Canis lupus familiaris: one gene and its partner. The protein of the gene in region 1 purifies or fractionates together with the protein of each later gene. This does not show direct contact. Links are inferred from orthologs where the notes say so. Each region holds a gene or a part of one and is shown on either strand. Other genes may lie near its edges.

Region 1 (9,995 bases):
CCCTGGGATCACGTCCTGAGCCCAAGGAAGACGTTCAACCACTGAGCCACCCTAGGCATCCCTCAAAGTTGTTTTTTAAAGATTTATTCATTTATTCATTTATTTGAGAAAGAGAGGGTACAAGGTAGGGGGAGGGGGAGCAGGAGAGGGAGAAGCAGACTCCCAGCTGAGCAGGGAGCCCAACTCAGGGCTCCATCCCAGTACCCTGAGATCATGACCTGAGCCAAAGGCAGATGCTTAACCAACTGAGTCACCCAGGCACCCCAAACTTCAAAATCGTCAAGAAACTAGACCTAAATTGTTCCCACCACAAAAAAGAAATGATAATTATGCAATGAGATAGAGATGTTAGCAAACACAATAGTAATCATATTGCAATATATAAATGCATCAAATCAGTATGTGTATACCTCAGGGGATCCCTGGATGGCTCAGCGGTTGGGCGTCTGCCTTCGGCCCAGGGCATAGTCCAGGAGACCCGGGATCGAGTCCCGTGTAAGGCTCCCTGCATGGAGCCTGCTTGTGTCTCTGCCTCTCTCTCTCTCTCTCTCTCTCTCATGAATAAATAAATAAAATCTTTAAAAAAAATAAAAATAAACCAATATGTGTACACCTCAAACTTATATGTTATATAACAATTATATTTTAGTTTTTTAAAAAGACCAAAATAAACCCAGAGCAAGCAGAAGGAAATAGAAAAGAGCAGAAATTAATAAAGTTGAAAACAGAAAAATAATAGATAAAAATCAATGAAACAAAGAGGTGGCTCTTTGAAAAGATCAATAAAATTGAGAAACTTCTGGCAAGACTGAAAAAAAGAGAAAAATCAAATTACCAATATCAGGAATGAAACAAAGGATATCACTAAAGACCCTGCAGACACCAAAAGGATGAAGCAAATATAAACAACTCTTCATATATACATTTGATAATTTAGATGAAATGGACTGATTCTTTAAAAAAACAAAACAACAACAACAAAAAAAACCAACTACCACAAATTGACTGATATGAAATGGATAATTTGAATAGCCCTAAAACAACTAAGGAAATTTAATCCATAATTTAAAACTCACCAAAAAAGAAATCAGTCGATCAATGAATCTGTGGCCTAGATGGTTTTCCTGGAGAATTTTACCAAATTTTTTTTTTTTAAAGATTCTGTTTTATTCATGAGAGACAGAGAGAGAGGCAGAGACATAGGCAGAGAGAAAAGCAGGCTCCATGCAGGGAGCCTGATGGGCACTCCATCCTGGGGCCCCAGGATCATGCCAGAAGCTGAAGGCAGATGCTCAATCGCTGAGCCACTCAGGGGTCCCTTACCAAATTCTTTTAAAGAATTAACACTGGCGGGGATCCCTGGGTGGTGCAGCGGTTTGGCGCCTGCCTTTGGCCCAGGGCACGATCCTGGAGACCCGGGATCGAATCCCATGTCGGGCTCCCGGTGCATGGAGCCTGCTTCTCCCTCGGCCTATGTCTCTGCCCCTCTCTCTCTCTCTCTGTGTGTGACTATCATAAATAAATAAAAATTAAAAAAAAAAAAAAAAAAAGAATTAACACTGGCGGCCCAGGTTTAGCGCCGCCTTCGGCCCAGGTTGTGATCCTGGAGACCCGGGCTCCCTGCATGGAGCCTGCTTCTCCCTCTGCCTATGTCTCTGCCTCTCTCTCTCTCTCTCATGAATAAATAAATAAAATCTTTAAAAAAATTAACACCAATTACAACACCTCTTACAGGAAAAAGAAGAGGAAGTGATTCTTCCAAACTCATTCTAGGATGCTAGCATTTGCCTGTGACAGGCTAAAAAGGGACCCCCCCACACACAAAGATATTCACATCCTAATCCTGGCAACCTGTGAATATCACCTTTATAGGGCAAGAACAAAAGAGTCTTTGCAGATGTGATTAAGGATCTTGAGATGAGTACCCTGAATTATCCAGGTGGGTCCTAAATGCAATCACATGTATCCCGATAAGAGAGAGGCAAAAGAACTTGACACACACAGACACAGAAGGCAGTGATGTGAAGACAGAGTCAAGAGATTTGAAGATGCTGGCCATTAAGAATAAAACGATGAAGCCAAGGAATAGCTGCAGCCAGCCAGAAGCTAGAAGAGAGGCAAGGAATAGATTCTCCCCTAAAGGCTCCGGAGGGAGTACAGACAGCCCTGCCAAAACCTTTATTTTGGCCCAAGGATACTTACTTTGGACTTAAGGCCTCCTTAAGAACTATGAGAGAATCAATTTCTGTTATTCTAAGCCACCAAGTTTGTGGTGATTTGTTGCAGAAAACACATGAAACTAATACATTCCCTGATTACAAAATCAGACAAATACAATATAAAAAAGAAAACTACACACCAATATCACTCATGAATATGTAGGAAAAAATTCTTGATAAAATATTAGCAAATATAATTCAACAATATATTAAAAGAATTATACACCATGACCAACTGGGGTTTACTCCAGGAATGCAAGGCAGGTTCCACATTCAAAAATCAATCCATGTGAGGGACGCCTGGGTGGCTCAGCAGTTGAGCATCTGCCTTTGGCTCAGGACGTGATCCCAGAGTCCTGGGATCGAGTCCCACATAGGGCTCTCTGCATGGAGCCTGCTTCTCCTTCCTCTTCCTATGTCTCTGCCTCTCTCTGTGTGTCTCTCATGAATAAATAAATAAAATATTTTTAAAAAATCAATCCATGGGCAGCCCGGGTGGCTCAACAGTTCAGCGCCGCCTTCTGCCCAGGGTATGATCCTGGAGACCTGGGATCGAGTCCCACGTCGGGCTCCCTGCATGGAGCCTGCTTCTCCCTCTGTCTGTGTCTCTGCCTCTCTCTCTCTGTGTGTCTCTCATGAATGAATAAAAAAAGAAAAATAAACCCATGTAATTCACATTAACAGGATCTTAAAAATTACATGATAACCAATGTAAAAAAATTTTTGACAAAATTCAACACTCATTTCCGCCAAAAATATGAACAGAAACAGGAATAGACAGGAACTTCTTCAACTTGATAAAGAGCATCTAAACCAAAACTACAACTCATATTATATTTAATGGTGAAAGACAATATTAACAGCAGGCAAGAATATCCAAGGGGCATCCCGGGTGGCTCAGTGGTTTAACGCCACCTTCAGCCCAGGGCCTGATCCTGGAGACCCGGGATCGAGTCCCACATCAGGCTCCCTGCATGGAGCCTGCTTCTCCCTCTGCCTGTGTCTCTGTCTCTCTCTATGTGTGTCTCTCATGAATAAATTTAAAAAATCTTAAAAAAAAAAAAAGAATATCCATTCTCACAATTCTTATTCAACATAGTGCTAGAAGTTCTAATAATGTAAAATTAGGCAAGAAATGGAAATGACAGGTATACAAAATAAAAAAGAAAAAAGCCCCTATTTATAAATGAAATGATTACCTATGAAGAAAAATCACCAAAAAATCTCTAAAAACATAAAAACCTCAGGACGCCTGGGTGGCTTGGCAGTTGAGCATCTATCTGCCTTCAGCTCAGGGCATGATCCCGGAGTCTGGGATCAAGTCCCACATCGGGCTCCTTGTGGGGAGCCTGCTTTTCTCTCTGCCTGTGTCTCTGCCTCTCTCTGTGCCTTTCATGAATAAATAAATAAATAAATCTTTAAAAATAATAATAATAAAATAAAATAAAAATAAAAACCTCCTGGAGCTAATAATTGAATTCAATGAAGTCACAGGAAACAGGATACAATACAAAAACCCACTGTATTTGTTTGCAATGAAAATGTGGACTTCAAAATTTAAAATATAAAATCATTTATAATCACTTAGAAATATGAAATACTCAAGTATAAATCTAACAAAACATGTAGAAAACTTATAAATCAATAACAACATGCTAGCAATCATAAAAAAAAAAAGGACAGGACTGGAGGCATTGTGCTGATTTCAAACTATCATACAAAAGCTATATAGTAATCAAAACAATATGGTATTGGCATAAAAACAGACACATAAGTTAACAGAATAGAACAGAGAACTCAGAAATAAACCCATGCATATATGGCCAATTAATTTATGACAAAGGACCCAAGAACTTTCAATGAGGAAAGGACAGTCTCTTCAATAAATGGCATTGGAAAAATTAGACAGCCAGTGCAGAAAAATGAAACTGGGGACCACTAGCTTATATCATACACAAAAATCAACTCAGAATGGATTAAAGACTTGAACCTAAGACCTTAAGCCAAAAAATCCAAGAAAACATAGGCAGTAAGCTCCCTGACAGTCTTGGTGATGCTTTTTTGGATTTAATACCAAAAGCAAAGGCAACAGAAGCAGACAAACAAATGGGACGACATCCAACTAAAAAGCTTCTGCACAGCAAAGGAAACTACCAACTAAATGAAAAGGCAACCTACTGAAGGGTAGAATATATTTGTAAATCATATATCTGATAAGGGGCAATATCCAAAATATATAAGGAACCCATACAATTCAATAGCAAAAATAAATAAATACTTATTTAAAAACGGGCAGAGGGGGATCCCTGGGTGGCGCAGCGGTTTAGCGCCTGCCTTTGGCCCAGGGCGCGATCCTGGAAACCTGGGATCGAATCCCACGTCGGGCTCCCGGTGCATGGAGCCTGCTTCTCCCTCTGCCTATGTCTCTGCCTCTCTCTCTCTCTCTCTCTCTCTCTCCCCCATCCTCTCTCTCTGTGTGACTATCATAAATAAATAAAAATTTAAAAAAATAAAAAAAATAAAAAAATAAAAAAATAAAAACGGGCAGAGGGATGCCTGGGTGGCTCAGCAGTTGAGTGCATCTGCCTTCGGTTCAGGGCATGATCCCAGGGTCCTGGGATTGAATCCCACATCAGGTTCCCTGCATGGAGCCTGCTTCTCCCTCTGCCTATGTCTCTGCCTCTCTCTTTCTGTGTCTCTCATGAATAGATAAATGATCTTTCAAAGAAGACATGCAGATGGCCAACAAATACATGAAAATATCCCAACATCGGGAGTCGCCGTGCGGCAGCTCCCTCCTGGCCTATGTCTCCGCGCTCCCTGCCGCAATGAGCTTCCTCAAAAGTTTCCCGCTGCCCCGCTCGGCCGAGGGGCTTCGGCAGCAGCAGCCCAAGACCGAGGCTGTGCTGAAGGGCAAGGGCCTCGGCACCGGCACGCTCTACATCGCGGAGAGGTTTTGAGTCTCCGGCCCCTGAGTGAGAATCATCAATGTGCCTGTCTCTTCTGTGAAAAGGTGTGGGAGGTGTTGCTCTTGGCAAGATATCCACCTGTCTTGGTTAGATGGCTCTGGATTAGGATTCTCACTGGAATACCCCACCATTAGCTTGCATGCGATGTCCAGGGACCTAAATGCCTATCCACAGAGCATTTGTATGTTATGGTGAATGCTAAATTTGGAGAAGAATCAAAAGAATCTGTTGCTGAAGAAGAAGACAGTGATGATGATGTTGAACCTATTGCTGAATTTAGATTTGTGCCTAGTGATAAATCAGCATTGGAGGCAATGTTCACTGCAATGTGTGAATGCCAGGCTTTGCATCCTGATCCTGAGGATGAAGATTCAGATGATTACGATGGAGAAGAATATGATGTGGAAGCACATGAACAAGGGCAGGGGGACATCCCTACATTTTATACCTATGAAGAAGGATTATCCCATTTAACAGCAGAAGGCCAAGCCACCTTGGAGAGATTAGAAGGAATGCTTTCTCAGTCTGTGAGCAGCCAATATAACATGGTTGGAGTCCGGACAGAAGATTCAATCAGAGATTATGAAGATGGGATGGAGGTAGACACTACACCAACAGTTGCTGGACAGTTTGAGGATGCAGATGTTGATCACTGAAGATGATTTATGCTGCTGTGGGATTCTGCTCATAACTAGGAAAGAACTAAAGAACTTGGTGCCTCTTCTACTGTGGAGTGGGTGTTGATGAAAGTCTTTTTCCTTCTCCAAAATTTACCTGAACCAGTTCTTTTTTTGAGACAGACTATATACTGAGACAAAAAGTTGTCACCAGCAGAAGAAACTATGACCTTTATTAACAAAGGTGAATTAACTTAACCAAGAGGGTATTTGTAGTTTATCATCTACCCAAAACTTTTGTGTATAGGTATCCTCTGAGTAGGCCTATAGTTCCTGCTTTCACTATATGCATCTTCTGTAACCTGGCAGGCCTATGTGGTGAGAATGCGCAGGTACTTGAAGACATAGGTAGACTGGATGGGAAGGAAGGAGGCTGAATCTAAGATATATCCTTTAGAGCCTAAGGATTCCCTTACCCCTTAAAAAGAAAGACAAAGAGATCTCAGAGAAATCCTGGCCACTGCTTGTTCTTCACAGGGATTAAGGTCTTTTTACTAATTTGGGATCCAGGTTAATTCATTTAGGCATCTTTAGAGAGCCTCTTGGGAAATATCCTAGCCACATGAAATACCACTAATATGGATGCTTCTGATTAGCTTTTACTTCTTTCACCATGTTTCACCAGTCTGTTTTGTTATAACCTCTTAGGTTATAGCCTTTAATTTCTAACCTCTTAGGTCAGTTTCCATAACAAATGAAATTGGGACGAAGTCCTCACAGTACTTCAATGATAATTGTTTTGTCTTTGTAATAGTTTAACAAATAAGTCTAGGTTTTCTATTAAAAAGAAAAAAGAAAAAAGAAAATATCCCAACATCACTAATTTAGGGGCACCTGGCTGGCTTAGTCTGTAGAGCATGTGATTCTCGATCTCAGGGTTGAGTTTAAGCCCCACACTGGGCATGGAGCCCACTGGAAAAAAAAAAAAATCACTAATCTAATCATTGGAGAAATGCAAAATAAAACCAGAGTGAGACATCACCCCACACCTGTTAGAATGGCTAGTATCAAAAAGACAAGAAATAACAAGTGTTGGTGAGGATGTGAAGAAAAGGGAACACTTGTGCACTGTTGGTCGAACAGAAACTGGTACAGCTGCCGTGGAAAACAGTATGAAGTTTCCTAAAAAAATTAAATCTAGAACTATCATATCATCCAGCAATGCCACTTCTGAGTATTTATTCAAAGTGGAATAAAGCAGTAACAAAGAAAAAAAAAAAACAGTAACAAAGAAATATATGCACCCCCATGTTAATTGCCACATTATTTGCAATAGCCAAAATATGGAAGCGATCTAAGTGTCTATTAACAGATGAATGGATAATGAAAATATGGGGTGTGTATGCGATATACACACAATAGAATATTATTCAGCCATAAAAGAAAAGGGAAATCTTGCTATCTGCAAGAATATGGATATACCTTGAAGGCATTCTGCTAAGTGAAATAAGGGAAATATAAAAAATAGTGAAAGGGAAAAAAGGGGAAAGGATAGAAAATGAGTGGGAAAGATCAGTGAGGGTGACAGAACATGAGAGACACCTAACTCTGGGAAATGAACAAGGGGTGGTGGAAGGGGAGATGGGTGGGGGCTTGGGGTGACTGGGTGATGGACACTGAGGGGGACACTTGACGGGATGAGCACTGGGTGATATGCTATATATTGGCAAATTGAACTCCAATAAAAAATATTTAAAAATATATTAAAATGCAAAAAAAGAAAGAAAGACAAACACTGTATGAGGTCACTTATATGTGGGTTCTAAAAACAAAACAAAACAACAAAAAACAAGTTCATAGTACAGAGAACAGATTGGTGGATGCCAGATATGGGGCAAAATGGGGGAAGGGAGTCAAAAGGTACAAACTTCATTATAAAATAAATTACGGGGATCCCTGGGTGGCGCAGCGGTTTGGCGCCTGCCTTTGGCCCAGGGCGCGATCCTGGAGACCCGGGATCGAATCCCACATCGGGCTCCCGGTGCATGGAGCCTGCTTCTCCGGTGCATGGAGCCTGCTTCTCCCTCTGCCTATGTCTCTGCCTCTCTCTCTTTCTCTCTCTGTGACTATCATAAATAAATAAAAAATTTAAAAAAAAAGTCTTAAAATAAATTACGTCATGGGGATGTAATGTACAGCATGGCAACTATAGTTAATTAAACTGTATTGCATATTTAAAAGTTGCTATGAGACTAAATCTTAAAAGCTCTCACCACAAGAAAAAAATTAATAACTATATATGGTGATGGATATTAACTAGCCTTATTGTGGTGATCATTTTGCAATACATACAAATATCGAATGATTATGTTGTATACCTGAAATTAATATAATGTTGAAGTCAAGAATACCTCAATTTAAAAAGAGCATGGTAGGGATGACTGGGTGGCCCTGCAGTTGAGCGTCAGCTTCAACTCAGGACGTGATCCCGGGATCTGGGATTGAGTCCTGAATCGGACTCCTGCATGGAGCCTGCTTCTCCTTCCCCTGCCTATGTCTCTGCCTTTCTCTATATCTCTCATGAATAAATAAATAAAATCTTTTTAAAAAAGAACAACACGGGATCCCTGGGTGGCGCAGTGGTTTAGCGCCTGCCTTTGGCCCTGGGCATGATCCTGGAGACCTGGGATCGAATCCCATGTTGGGCTCCCGGTGCATGGAGCCTGCTTCTCCCTCTGCCTATGTCTCTGCCTCTCTCTCTCTCTCTGTGTGACTATCATAAATAAATTAAAAAAAAAATTTTTAAAAAAAAGAACAACATATTGGAGAAAGAATAGACAATTTTATCAGTGGAACAAACAGAAAGAAAGTAGACCTGAGCGCCTAGGTGGATCAGTCGGTTAAGCATCTGACTCTTCGTTTCAGCTCAGGTCATGATCTCAAGGTCTTCAGATCAAGGTCTGCATCAGGCTCCACGCTCAGTATCAGTCTGCTATCCCTCTCCCTACACTGCCCCCCCACCGCATCGCTTGCACAATTGTGCACACTCTCTCTCTCTCAAATAAATAAAATATTTAAAAAGAAACAGGAGGGATCCCTGGGTGGCGCAGCGGTTTGGCGCCTGCCTTTGGCCCAGGGCGCGATCCTGGAGACCTGGGATCGAATCCCACGTCGGGCTCCCGGTGCATGGAGCCTGCTTCTCCCTCTGCCTGTGTCTCTGCCTCTCTCTCTCTCTGTGACTATCATAAATAAATAAATTTTAAAAAAAAAATTTAAAAAAATAAAAAAAAAAAGAAACAGGAAAAAAGAAAAAGAAAAAGGAAATAGACCCACACAAATATAATCAACTGATCTTGGACAAAGGAGAAAAAGCAATTCAATGGAGAAAATAAATAGTGCTGAAACGACTGGACATCCATATGCAAACAAAAAAACTAGACTCGGTCCTTTTATCTTTCACAAAAATTAACTCTAAATGGATCTTAGACCTATATGCAAAATGTAGAACTATAAAACTTCTACAAGATAATAAGAGAAAATCTAAGTGACTTGGGTTTGAAAATGTTTTAAAATACAACACCAAAATTACGATTCATGAAAGGAAAACTGACAAGTGGGACTTTATTAAAATTTTAAAATTCTGCTCTATGAAAGACACCATTAAGAAAATAGACAAGTCACAGAATGAAAGAAAATATTTACAGAACACACATCTGATAAAGGACTTGTATTTAAAACATATAAACAATTCTTAAAACTCAACAATAACAAAATAAACAACCCAATTTAAAAATGGATAAAAGAGGGACGCCTGGGTGGCTCAGTGGTTGAGGGTCTGCCTTTGGCTCAGGGCGAGATCCCAGAGTCCTGGAATCGAGTCCCACATTGGGCTCCGCACAGGAAGCCTGCTTCTCCCTCTGCCTATGTCTCTGCCTCTCTCTGTGTGTCTCTCATGAATAGATAAATAAAATATTTTTTAAAAATGGATAAAAAGGGGCAGCCCAGGTGGCTCAGCAGTTTAGCGCTGCCTTCAGCCCGGGGCCTGATCCTGGAGACCCAGGATGGAGTCCCACGTCGGGCTCCCTGCATGGAGCCTGCTTCTCCCTCTGCCTGTGTCTCTGCCCCTCTCTCTCTGTCTCTCATGAATAAATAAATAAAATCTTTTAAAAAAATGGATAAAAAGGGGGGCA
Region 2 (10,072 bases), on another chromosome or scaffold:
TGTATCATATACTATCTGCACAATGACAACCTGCAATCCCATCACTAATCCAGGCTCTTCCTTTGAGCTCCTATGTGAATATCTCACAAGTGCTTCAAACTCCTCATGTCTAAAAGTGAATTCATCGTCTTCCCCCAATTTCCTTCTTCTCCGGTGTCTCCCATTTTGGTACATGGTGACACCATCCACAAAGATCTGAAATCAGACATCTGAAAGATGGTGATATTTTTAACTTCAATTGTTAATCAACTACCAAGATCTATCAATGCTACTTCCTGTATTGTTCATAAATCCATCCACTTTTCTCCATTTCCACTGTCATTATTACCCTGGTCCGAAACACCATTTCTTCTGGGACTGATGCAACAGTCTCTGACCTGGCCCCTTCACATACAGTACTAACCCCTTTCCAGGGTGCTCTTTAATTTTTCTAGTGCTCTTTTTAAGTATAATTTAACTGTATTTATCCTAATATTTAAAAACAAAACTAAAACTAAATGCTTTCCCATGACCTAAGGCCTTAGTAACCCTGCCCCTGCCTACCTCTCTAGTCCCTCCTAAATGATCTATGTCCAAGCTACACTTCAGCCTTTTTCAGATCCTTAAACTGGCTGTCTCAGAGACCTGTACAGTTTTCTCTACTTATAATGTGCTTCCCACCTGTTTGAATAGCAGTGGTTCCCAAGTGCTAATCTAATTACATCAAAATTATCCAGGAGCCTGCCTTTTTATAATTGAAGCCTGGTCCCTATCTGAGGACTTACCAGCTCCAATTTCTAAGAGTGGGACCAAGAAATACATGACCTTAAAAGCTCCCCTAGATATTGTGATGAGCAACAAGGTTTGGAAATCACCTCTAATCAACTTCCAGGTCTCAGCTTCTAGTTTATTCAGAAAGCCAATATACTAAATATGGTCCCACTACTAACATCCTCATGGCAATCTGCAGTTCTCCTTCACAGCATTTATCATGTTTTGAAAGATCTGTGAAATCATTTAATATCTGACTTCTCTCAAATAATGTTTCCTAATTTAACGCTTTATTTAGAAAGTTTGGTCATGTAAGCTTTCAGTAAGAATCTTGCAGAAATGAAAAAACATACTGTAGCAGTTACAGAATTTGCCTAAGAGTAATTTCTGAAAGCTTGTATTAAATTACTTTTAAGGATCAGTAAGTTCAACATTTAAAGTACAGAACATATCAATTTAAGAGCTTCACTAGTGATATACTGGAGGGTTCAAGTGCTCTAAGTAGCACTGTCCTAAGGAAGGTCATTTACTTACAAAACCAAAGATCCTACTTATCAGAAGCTTCACTCACCTTCTGCAGTTTTTTAAAGGAAGATGCCTTCATATTTTCTGACAATTTAACAGAAAAATACTATTAGTTACATTAAGGAATAAGCAATTAAGATCACAAGAGGTAACCTTCTGAATTCCTATGTAATTTTAAAAACAAAGCTATATGGAAATATCTAGAAAAAGTAAGAAATAAGTTTCCAAGAGGAAATGAAGTTTTTATTTTTAAAACTTCTAATTCCACGCTATTCCAGTAGCATCATCATAATCAAAGCAAAGTACCTTAATCCTGTAGCACTTACCCAAATGGTAATCACTTCTTAAACCTTCCAAAAAGGAAGTTACTCTATTATAGTCTTCCTTTTCAATACGGGGAGATACATTCTCTTCTCTTGATTCTCCTTTATGTTACAATCTTACCAATACTCTCTCCCAATTGAATAAAACAAGAAGTTTAATTAAAACAATACTTAGCTCCAGAAAAAAGCAAATGGTAACCTTTTAATGAGATCACTGGGTCTTCTAATGAAAAAGGATACAAAATCTCTAAGTTGTCCAAATATTTCATCCACTTTACCAATTTGTTCTTTGTTCTCTAAATAAACTGGAGCATTAAAATAAGGCACCTTATTTTCGTCTGTAGTACATTTACAAACTATGTCATCTTCACAGGGATGCAGGAACTCTCCTAATACTGAAATAGGACAAGAAAATGTTAAAATGTAAAACAGTTTCAAATGATATTGACCAACATCATCTGGAAGTTTCTTCTTGGGTACCTGGGATTTCACTTATGTGTTCTCCTCTGAGGCAAAAAAAAAAAAAAAAAGCCAAAAACTCCACATTAGCTCTGTGACCTGGGGTAAGATTCTTTTCTCTGATTCACTGTCCTATTCTTAATAAGGGCAAATAGCAATACCAACACCCTATATATATTACTATGAGGAATAAATACAATAATAAATGTCAGGTGCTTAGAAAAGTACCTGGCACATTGAGGCCATCCAACCTATAAGAGGTGTTTTATTATAACAATAAGTATTATTATTAAGCACCATGCTTACATTCTGTCTCTTCATTTCCCCGGTCCCTAATTGTAAATCAGTCTTTGTTCTCCTTTTTTCCTCCCTTTAATAACCTCCTACTACCACGTCTTTACCAATGACTCTTCACTCTTTTTCAGGGACGCGTGGAATCCAAAATAACTACCTTTATTTCTGACCGTCACCCCAAACTAAAAAACTCATCACATCCCTCCAAAACCAATTCTTCATCCCTATCACCCAAAATCCAAACCTGGAACCTTTTATTCCCAAGAATTAGCCAAGTTCTACTGAATTTATTTCCATTGAAATTGCTCTCCCATCAAACCCGTCCTTTTTTTTCTCCTCACTTTCACTACCCTCACAGTGCATCATGCACGGACTGTTGCATGCTTGTGGGCTACTTCACATAGACCTATGACTCTAGCCATTGCACTCTTCAAACCATTTTGCACACTGATCCAACCAGTGTGAGGTTGCACTCTCTTCATCACTTCTCCTTTTTGATGTAGGCTTCTACTATCAAATCTGTCTCACGTCCCAGGACTTCCATCCCACCTCATTGATAATTACTTCAAATCTACTCTCATTAGGTTTTTTTTCCTTGGCTTCCCTCCCCTCTGTAGATTCCCTAACAAGCAATTTTCCTCACTTCTCTTACTTATGAAAAGCAATGGAGAGCATGGGCTTTGGAGTCAGAAAACGTGGCTTTGTAGCTCAAACGGATCACTTATTAATATGATGCCAGCAAAGAAACTTATTACTACGACCCTAGCAAAGAAACTCAACTCTCACGGTTTTCTTACCTGTAAAACGGGGACAACAGGAATAAACACACAGTATTACCTACTTAATAACTTCCTTTCAGCCCAAGCTCAAGTTCCACCTCCACGACGCATTCTAAGTGTTGTTCTGCCTTCTTGATCGCCCCTTTACATTTGAGCGCTACAACACGATTGTAAGTCAGCTTACAGCATCTCCAGACCCGATTCCCCAACCCAGCAGCAACTTCCATAGGAGAGCTGCTAGAGCTGCCTTTCAGCACGCTCATTTCCCAAACTTAAACCCACAACCTCCGCCCCCAAGTAGGTTAAGCTTTGAAACCGACATACAAACTACGTGCTCCGGAGGTCCTTGGTCTTGGCCTTTGTTAAAGCCTCCGCGGCCACCTCCTCGTCCAAATCCTCCTCTACCACCACCGCCGCCTCGGAAATTACCGCCTCCACCTCGGAAGTGGTTGTTGCTTCCGCCGCGACTGAAGCCACCACCTCGATTAAAGCCTCCACGACCACCGCCTCGAAAAGACATGCTTACTCTACCTGGTAAGAAAAACAGTACGTATCTTTTTGGTCATTGTGGCCTCTGGGTGCACCACCCTCTGTGCCACGGTCAGAACATCATACAGCGGGACAGTAAGAAGTACAGCAACCTTGCCACCTCGCCCAAGGCCAAGCCGCCAGAGATGAACCCGAGGGTGAGGCGTGTCACCTTCCCGTTGCCCTGTGCGCGCGGACCGACCGCTCACCAGCCTCTCCGCCCCCGGTCAGTATCTCCTCCCCCAGCAGGCAGAAAGGTCTTCACGCCACATTCCCTTCCTTCCCCCCTCCCTCCGTAGCTGGGTCCCGCGTCCAGACATCCTCAGACCCCTCTGCTCGCCACCGCAACGCACCGGAGCCACGTGCACCTCCGGCCCCGCTGCCCCCACCCACCCGCCAGCCCGGTACTTCCGCCGTGAACGAGCCTCCTCGGCCACCGTACCCGCACAAAGGTGGCGGGGAGCGACAAGAAATTCGAACGACTGATTTACAAAAAAAGCCAGTCACCGGCAGAACCGGGGGCGCTGTCCCATTTCCAAAACGGCCTTCAGCGCTGGAAGAGCGGCGCTACTACCCACCGTCAAACAGTAGTTTACGGCAGTCGCGTCCGTTTGCCTACGAGGAGCGGAGGAAATGACGTATAATAGTGGCGTCCGTTGACTCGAGAAGTTGCCGGAAGTGCGGCCGCGCTGTTGCCCCGGGAGATGGTTGGCGTGAGAGTTCCGCCCCCCTCTCCCGGGGACCTGGCGGTTCCAGGTGGCTGGGAGCTGGTGGGGAGCCCTGGCTTCTCAGGCTGCAGAATGGTCTCCTCGTTCGTTAGTTCGTCGCCAGCCCCAGCAACTGTACTGCCCCGTCTCTGAGTTTGCAGCTGCGCTGTACGCAGGGGTGGATCTGGTGGGGTCGCAACCCGCGCAGGGCTTCCTGCGTTCTTCTGAGCGCGTGTGTTTCTTCCGGACCTTTTGAGGTAAGCTCGACTGTGAGGTGAACCGGGGCGGTCCTTTTGTCCCGTCGTTACGCTTCGTTAAAGGAAGGGGGGACGTGCGTGCACGTGTGTTCTTTTCTTTAAAAATGTTTTTTTTTGGGGGGGATCCCTGGGTGGCGCAGCGGTTTGGCGCCTGCCTTTGGCCCAGGGCGCGATCCTGGAGACCCGGGATCGAATCCCACGTCGGGCTCCCGGTGCATGGAGCCTGCTTCTCCCTCTGCCTGTGTCTCTGCCTCTCTCTCTCTCTCTCTCTCTCTCTCTGTGACTATCATAAATAAATAAAAAAAAATTTTAAAAAATGTTTTTTTTTACTAAAAATAAAATAAATAAAAATGTTTTTTCTTTAAAAGTATATTTTATGTAACAAAAAGCGAAGCCGTATTTTTAAAAAAATTATTTTAAAGATTTCATTTATTCATTCATGAGAGGGAGAAACAGGCTCCATGCAGGGAGCCCGACATGGGACTCGATCCCAGATCTCCAGGATCACGCCCTGGGCTGCAGGCGGCGCTAAACTGCTGAGCCACCGGGGCCTTTTTTTTTTTTTTTTTTTTACCTTTTAGTTAGGCGATCTCTACACCCAACATAGGGCTGGGACTCACAGCTGGGAGCGGAAGAGTGTCAGGCTCTTCTGACTGAGCCAGCCAGGGGTCCCTGGAGAGTAGGTTTTGAGCACTGACACAGGCCGTGGACCATCTATGCTACAAGCCCCTCTATCCTTTTTTTCCTTTAAGACCTTCATACCTAATTTAAGCTTCCGGTGAGATTTCTCTACCAAGGAAAGCTAGTGATCTCCTATTTGTTAAATTTGGTTGGTCTCTTTTATACTGGAATCTTTCGAGACCTTCCTTCCTTTGGTATTTGACACAGTCCACCTCCTCTTCTTTGAAAGGGTGGGGATTGGTACCTGCTTCAGAGGGCTGATGTAATTGGGAAGAACTTTGTGAGCTTCGCTATGGGAATACTAGTGATGTAGTTTTGGAAATATAGGTGAGGTTTGCTGGGGTGAAGTCCAGAGCCAACCACCAAGAAAGAATTCTTGAGACGTCTTTGGTGCAAAATGGTGGTTTTGTTTTGTTTTGTTTTGTTTTGTTTTGTTTTGTTTTGTTTTTTTTAAAGCATGGGGGCAGGACCCACAGGCAGGAAGAGTGCTGCTGCCCCCCGGCTAGTGAGGGCTGGCTGATTATATACCTGGGAGTTGAAGGTAAGGAAAAGGGAAGTTTCAAAAAGATTTCCGTATGTTGGGGAGGACCTGTAAGATACTGGAGGCCTTGCAGTTGTCAAGTTGATATGAGAGAGCTTGGTTCTTGCCTCATGGAGTTGAAGAATGAATCTCATGGACAATAGAGAGTGAGCAAAGCGATAAAAGTTTAGTAAGCAGAGGTACAGAGAAAGTTCTCAGAAGCCAGAGGGGTCCCCACAGGATTGCCACAGGGCTTTTAGTGGCAGTCTTTGATTGAGAACCGGGCCAGGGAGCCCAGTGGCCTTGAGATTCTTGTGCAGTCTTGGATTGATCAGAGAGTATTGATAACACCATAATGACTGACTTCTTTGTGGTCTTGTGAGTTTCCGTGATTACTTAGTAACCATCAAAGGGAGATACTCCCCAACATTTTGGAGCTAGGAAGCCAGGTTTATTATTTTTCTCTGTTTTTACTGTCTTTGTTTTCTTGGGATGGGTGGGAGCCTGACTCTGGACCTTTCGTTTATGGGAACCCACAGATTTCTGGGAGCTTGATTCTCAGCCTTTCCCTTAACTTTCCCTGCCTAGCCCCATTTGCCGCTCCTTCCTACATCAAAGTTAAGTTGTTTTTCCTCTAGCGGGGCATTAACATTAAGATACTTGGGAACTTCCTGGGGGAAAGTCACATATATTCCCACCTAGGAGTGGAAGGGGGGTGTTGCAGGGTGTGAGCTTGTGCTTTGTCCTCAGCTAGCCTTCTGTTCCCTCATCACTAGGAATCACAATATGTTTTCTGCACTATTCTAAGCCCCTAAGAAGCCTAGATATAAAAGGAACTTGATAAATGTATTTTTATTCATATTTGGTAAATGTATTTTAAATACTGTATATCATGAAGAATATTATTCATAACGGCCCTGCCCTATTTTGCTTTGCTTCATTTAACTTTTATGTTCAGCGTTTAGCTCCATTTGGGGTCCGCTTTTATTTCTAACTCACTGTGATAAAAATTATTGAAGTTTTATAAGACCTTCAGGATTACCTGGTACCCCTTTATTTTACTTCTTGACAGCAAGAAAGTAACATTCAGAGACGTGAAGTAACTTCAGCCACTTAGAGGAACAAAGTAGAACCCTAGAGTCTCAGAGTTTTCAGTCCTTTTCGGTCCCAACCCTCATCTCTTATTCTTCCCAAATTGTGCGTCATTCCCGTTCCCTGTTAGTCTTCATGATAGCACCATACCCTTGGTTTCTGAATCTTTGGACTCAGACCTCTGAGTACTCTGCTCTATCATTGTTATCAATCTAATTTGTTACACAATAAGAGAAACTAATACAGATTTTGGTTCTAATTTGTTACACAATAAGAAAAACTAATACAGATTTTGGTTCTCAGCGCAAACAGGATGTTTGCGCTGAGAAGTGGACTGTGGTAATACTTCCAAGAAAATAGGCGAGATTTTGCCAAATTCTTTGAAGATCAAGAATGGCTGCAGAAACTAGCCTACTTAGGAGACATTTTTTCCTTACATGACCTTGTTGAATTGGTTGAGTACGTGCGGCTCAATCTCACGACCTTGAGATCATCACATTGGACTTTAAGTCGTGTTTGTAAAACAGTTTCTAACAAAGTGTAAAACAAGAAAACTACACAAGGAAATCAGAAAGGAAAAATGAAATCTTTATAATTCACTCTTAATGACAAGCTCCATGTTTTGCAATCACAAAATTACAAAACAACAGGGAGGCATCTGAGTCATAGCTTTACTTAGAATTTACTCCTTGATTTTTTTTTTTTAATCATATCAGGGAAAGTTTGTTTGCTCTCTGGTAGCTGTGGGTATGGAGAGGCTGAGGAAGGATAAGGAGATGATACAGTTCAAGAGGGAGAAGCTGATGCCATCAACCTATCACTACCCTCTCAGTACAATTCAGCACTCACTAATTATCAATAGCATCCCCTATCTCACATCAAAAACAGAGTGGACTCTACCAAATGGACATAGTCATGCAGACACTGCCATATAGCTGAAAAGTCTCTAGCAAAATTACTAACAGAGCTGCTTGATCACTTTTCATTACTGCAAGTACTGGCATTGCATGGAGAAGGAAAGTCAAAAAAATTAAAAATTTTCCCCTTTCTTTTTTTTTTTGAATTCCTAGTGACTTCTCACAGAATTCCTAACGGCATCTACAGAACCCAACTGAGAAATCTACACTAGATTCTAAGTTCCCGAAGAATGGACACTACAGTTTGTTTTGGAATCCTAAGCATTTAGCACAGTGCCTATAAAAAAAAAAAAAAAAATGCCCAATAAGTATTTGTTACCTGAACTAAACTGAACTTTATAATTTGAATTTCTGACCATTTATTGTGTTTGTCAACAAAGTGACTACAGAATAATGGACAAAGAGATTATAAAAGAAATGGAGGGGGATGCCTGGGTGGCTCAGCGGTTGAGCATCTGCCTTCAGCTCAGGGCATGATCCCGGGATCCAGGATTGAGTCCCACATCAGGCTCCTTACAGGAAGCCTGCTTCTCCCTCTGCCTGTGTGTCTGCCTCTCTCTCTCTCTCTCTCTCTCTCTCGAATAAATAAATAAAATCTTTAAAAAAAAAAATGGAGGGAAAAAGAAAGCATATAAGTAGCATACATCCATTTGTGCTACTGAAAAGTTAGGGAATCTAATTAAAATACTTGGTAAGGAGATATTCTAAACAACAGAGAAGAGAAAGGGCTGAAAAACCTTATACTAGAACAAGATGTTCTAAGGACTTAGCCAAAGTTGACTGTAAATTGGAAACAATATGAACTCATGACTTTCTTTTTTAAAACTTATTATTAAAATTTCAAACATAAAAGTTCACAGAGAGCGGTATAACAAACCTCATAATTCAGTTTCAACAATTACCAGCATTTTGCAAATCTTGTTTCATCTATCCCTTCATTATTATAATATATATAATTATAAATTATGCATATAAACTTATTTTTTTTTTAGATTTTATTCATTCATAAGTGAAACAGAGGCAGAGACATTGACAGAGGGAAAAACAGGCACCCCACAGGGAACCTGACATGGGATTCAATCCTCGGACCCAGGATCATGCCCCGAGCAAAAGGCAGATACATAACCACTGAGCTACCCAGGCATCCTTAAAATATTTTATTTTAAAAATAAATATTCTTAAATTTGTAATTCCAAAATATTTTATTATCTTATAATTATTTATAAATTACTATTATATATTTTTCTATATATATATATATATATGTATGTATGTATGGGGGGGGGCTAGAGTATTTTGTGGTAAGCTTCACATAGCATTTCATCCATAAATCTCCACCAGAGGACTTTTTTTTTCCCAGAGGACTTTCTAAACATAATCACAATACCATTATCACAGTTAACTAAAGTAATAATTCCTTAGTATCAGCTAGTAACAGTCCATGTAGAATTTTCCCAGACTATTTCAAAATGACTTTTAAGGTTGCTTTGAGGGCAGCCCAAGTGGCTCAGTGGTTTAGCACCACCTTCATGATCCTGGAGACCTGGAATCAAGTCCCACGTCAGGCTCCCTGCATGGGGGGGACTCTGCCTGTCTCTCTCTCTCTCTTTTTTATAAATAAATTTTAAAAAATAATAATTATGACAGCCCACGTATTTACTTGAACCTACAGACATATGTGCGTTTGTGTGTGTGCATAAAATAGATGTCAAGTGTTGATGTTATTAATTACAGACTGCTGAATCCTTTTTAAGATTTTGTTTGTATCAATTTGCTGACATTTTACTTGGACTTTTTGCACCTATAGTCATAAATGAAGTTAATCTTTCTTTTTCTTTTTCTTGTAAATTCTGGTTGTATAGATCCTTGTTAGGATCCCTGCGTGGATGATTGTGCAGGAGAGGGATACAGTGGGATGTGAGGCCTCAGAAGCTTTCCTATGGCTTATTTTTCAAATGCAGAGACTTCCTGAACCCCATGAAGTTGTATATACCTGGAATGCTTCTTTGCTTCTCCTGCCTCACTATCCACTCAGGAACTGCTAAGTTAGAACCTGTTGGGCAGAGAGCCTTCTGTAGACTTTATCTTGGAACAAATGCTGAAGTAAGTTGCCCCAAGAATGGGATACGGGCTCAGGGCACCTGACTGTCTCAGTTGACAGAGCAGGTAACTCTTTTGGTCTTGAGGTTTTGAGTTCAAGCCCCTCATAGGTTGGGGTAGAGATTACTTTAAAAATAATA

Evidence for each region. The genes of interacting proteins can lie anywhere in the genome.
Region 2: the proteins of methylosome subunit pICln-like (region 1) and GAR1 purify together in Homo sapiens (affinity purification with mass spectrometry; 3 studies listed by BioGRID and IntAct, counting the BioPlex papers as one, with this or other methods). This does not show direct contact. The link is inferred for Canis lupus familiaris from reciprocal best matches to the Homo sapiens genes CLNS1A and GAR1.

The regions. Positions count from the first base shown.
Region 1 is NC_049260.1:41,160,501-41,170,495, reverse strand, and holds methylosome subunit pICln-like, read left to right. Parts: upstream 1-5,047; coding exon 5,048-5,164; intron 5,165-5,322; coding exon 5,323-5,844; 3' UTR 5,845-6,591; downstream 6,592-9,995. UniProt on the Homo sapiens protein: Involved in both the assembly of spliceosomal snRNPs and the methylation of Sm proteins.
Region 2 is NC_049253.1:9,890,785-9,900,856, forward strand, and holds part of GAR1 (H/ACA ribonucleoprotein complex subunit 1), read right to left. Parts: intron 4,623-10,072; exon of another isoform or gene 4,101-4,622; intron 4,066-4,100; exon of another isoform or gene 4,012-4,065; intron 3,979-4,011; exon of another isoform or gene 3,772-3,978; intron 3,662-3,771; 5' UTR 3,651-3,661; coding exon 3,455-3,650; intron 1,994-3,454; coding exon 1,839-1,993; intron 1,382-1,838; coding exon 1,322-1,381; intron 1-1,321. UniProt on the Homo sapiens protein: Required for ribosome biogenesis and telomere maintenance. Part of the H/ACA small nucleolar ribonucleoprotein (H/ACA snoRNP) complex, which catalyzes pseudouridylation of rRNA.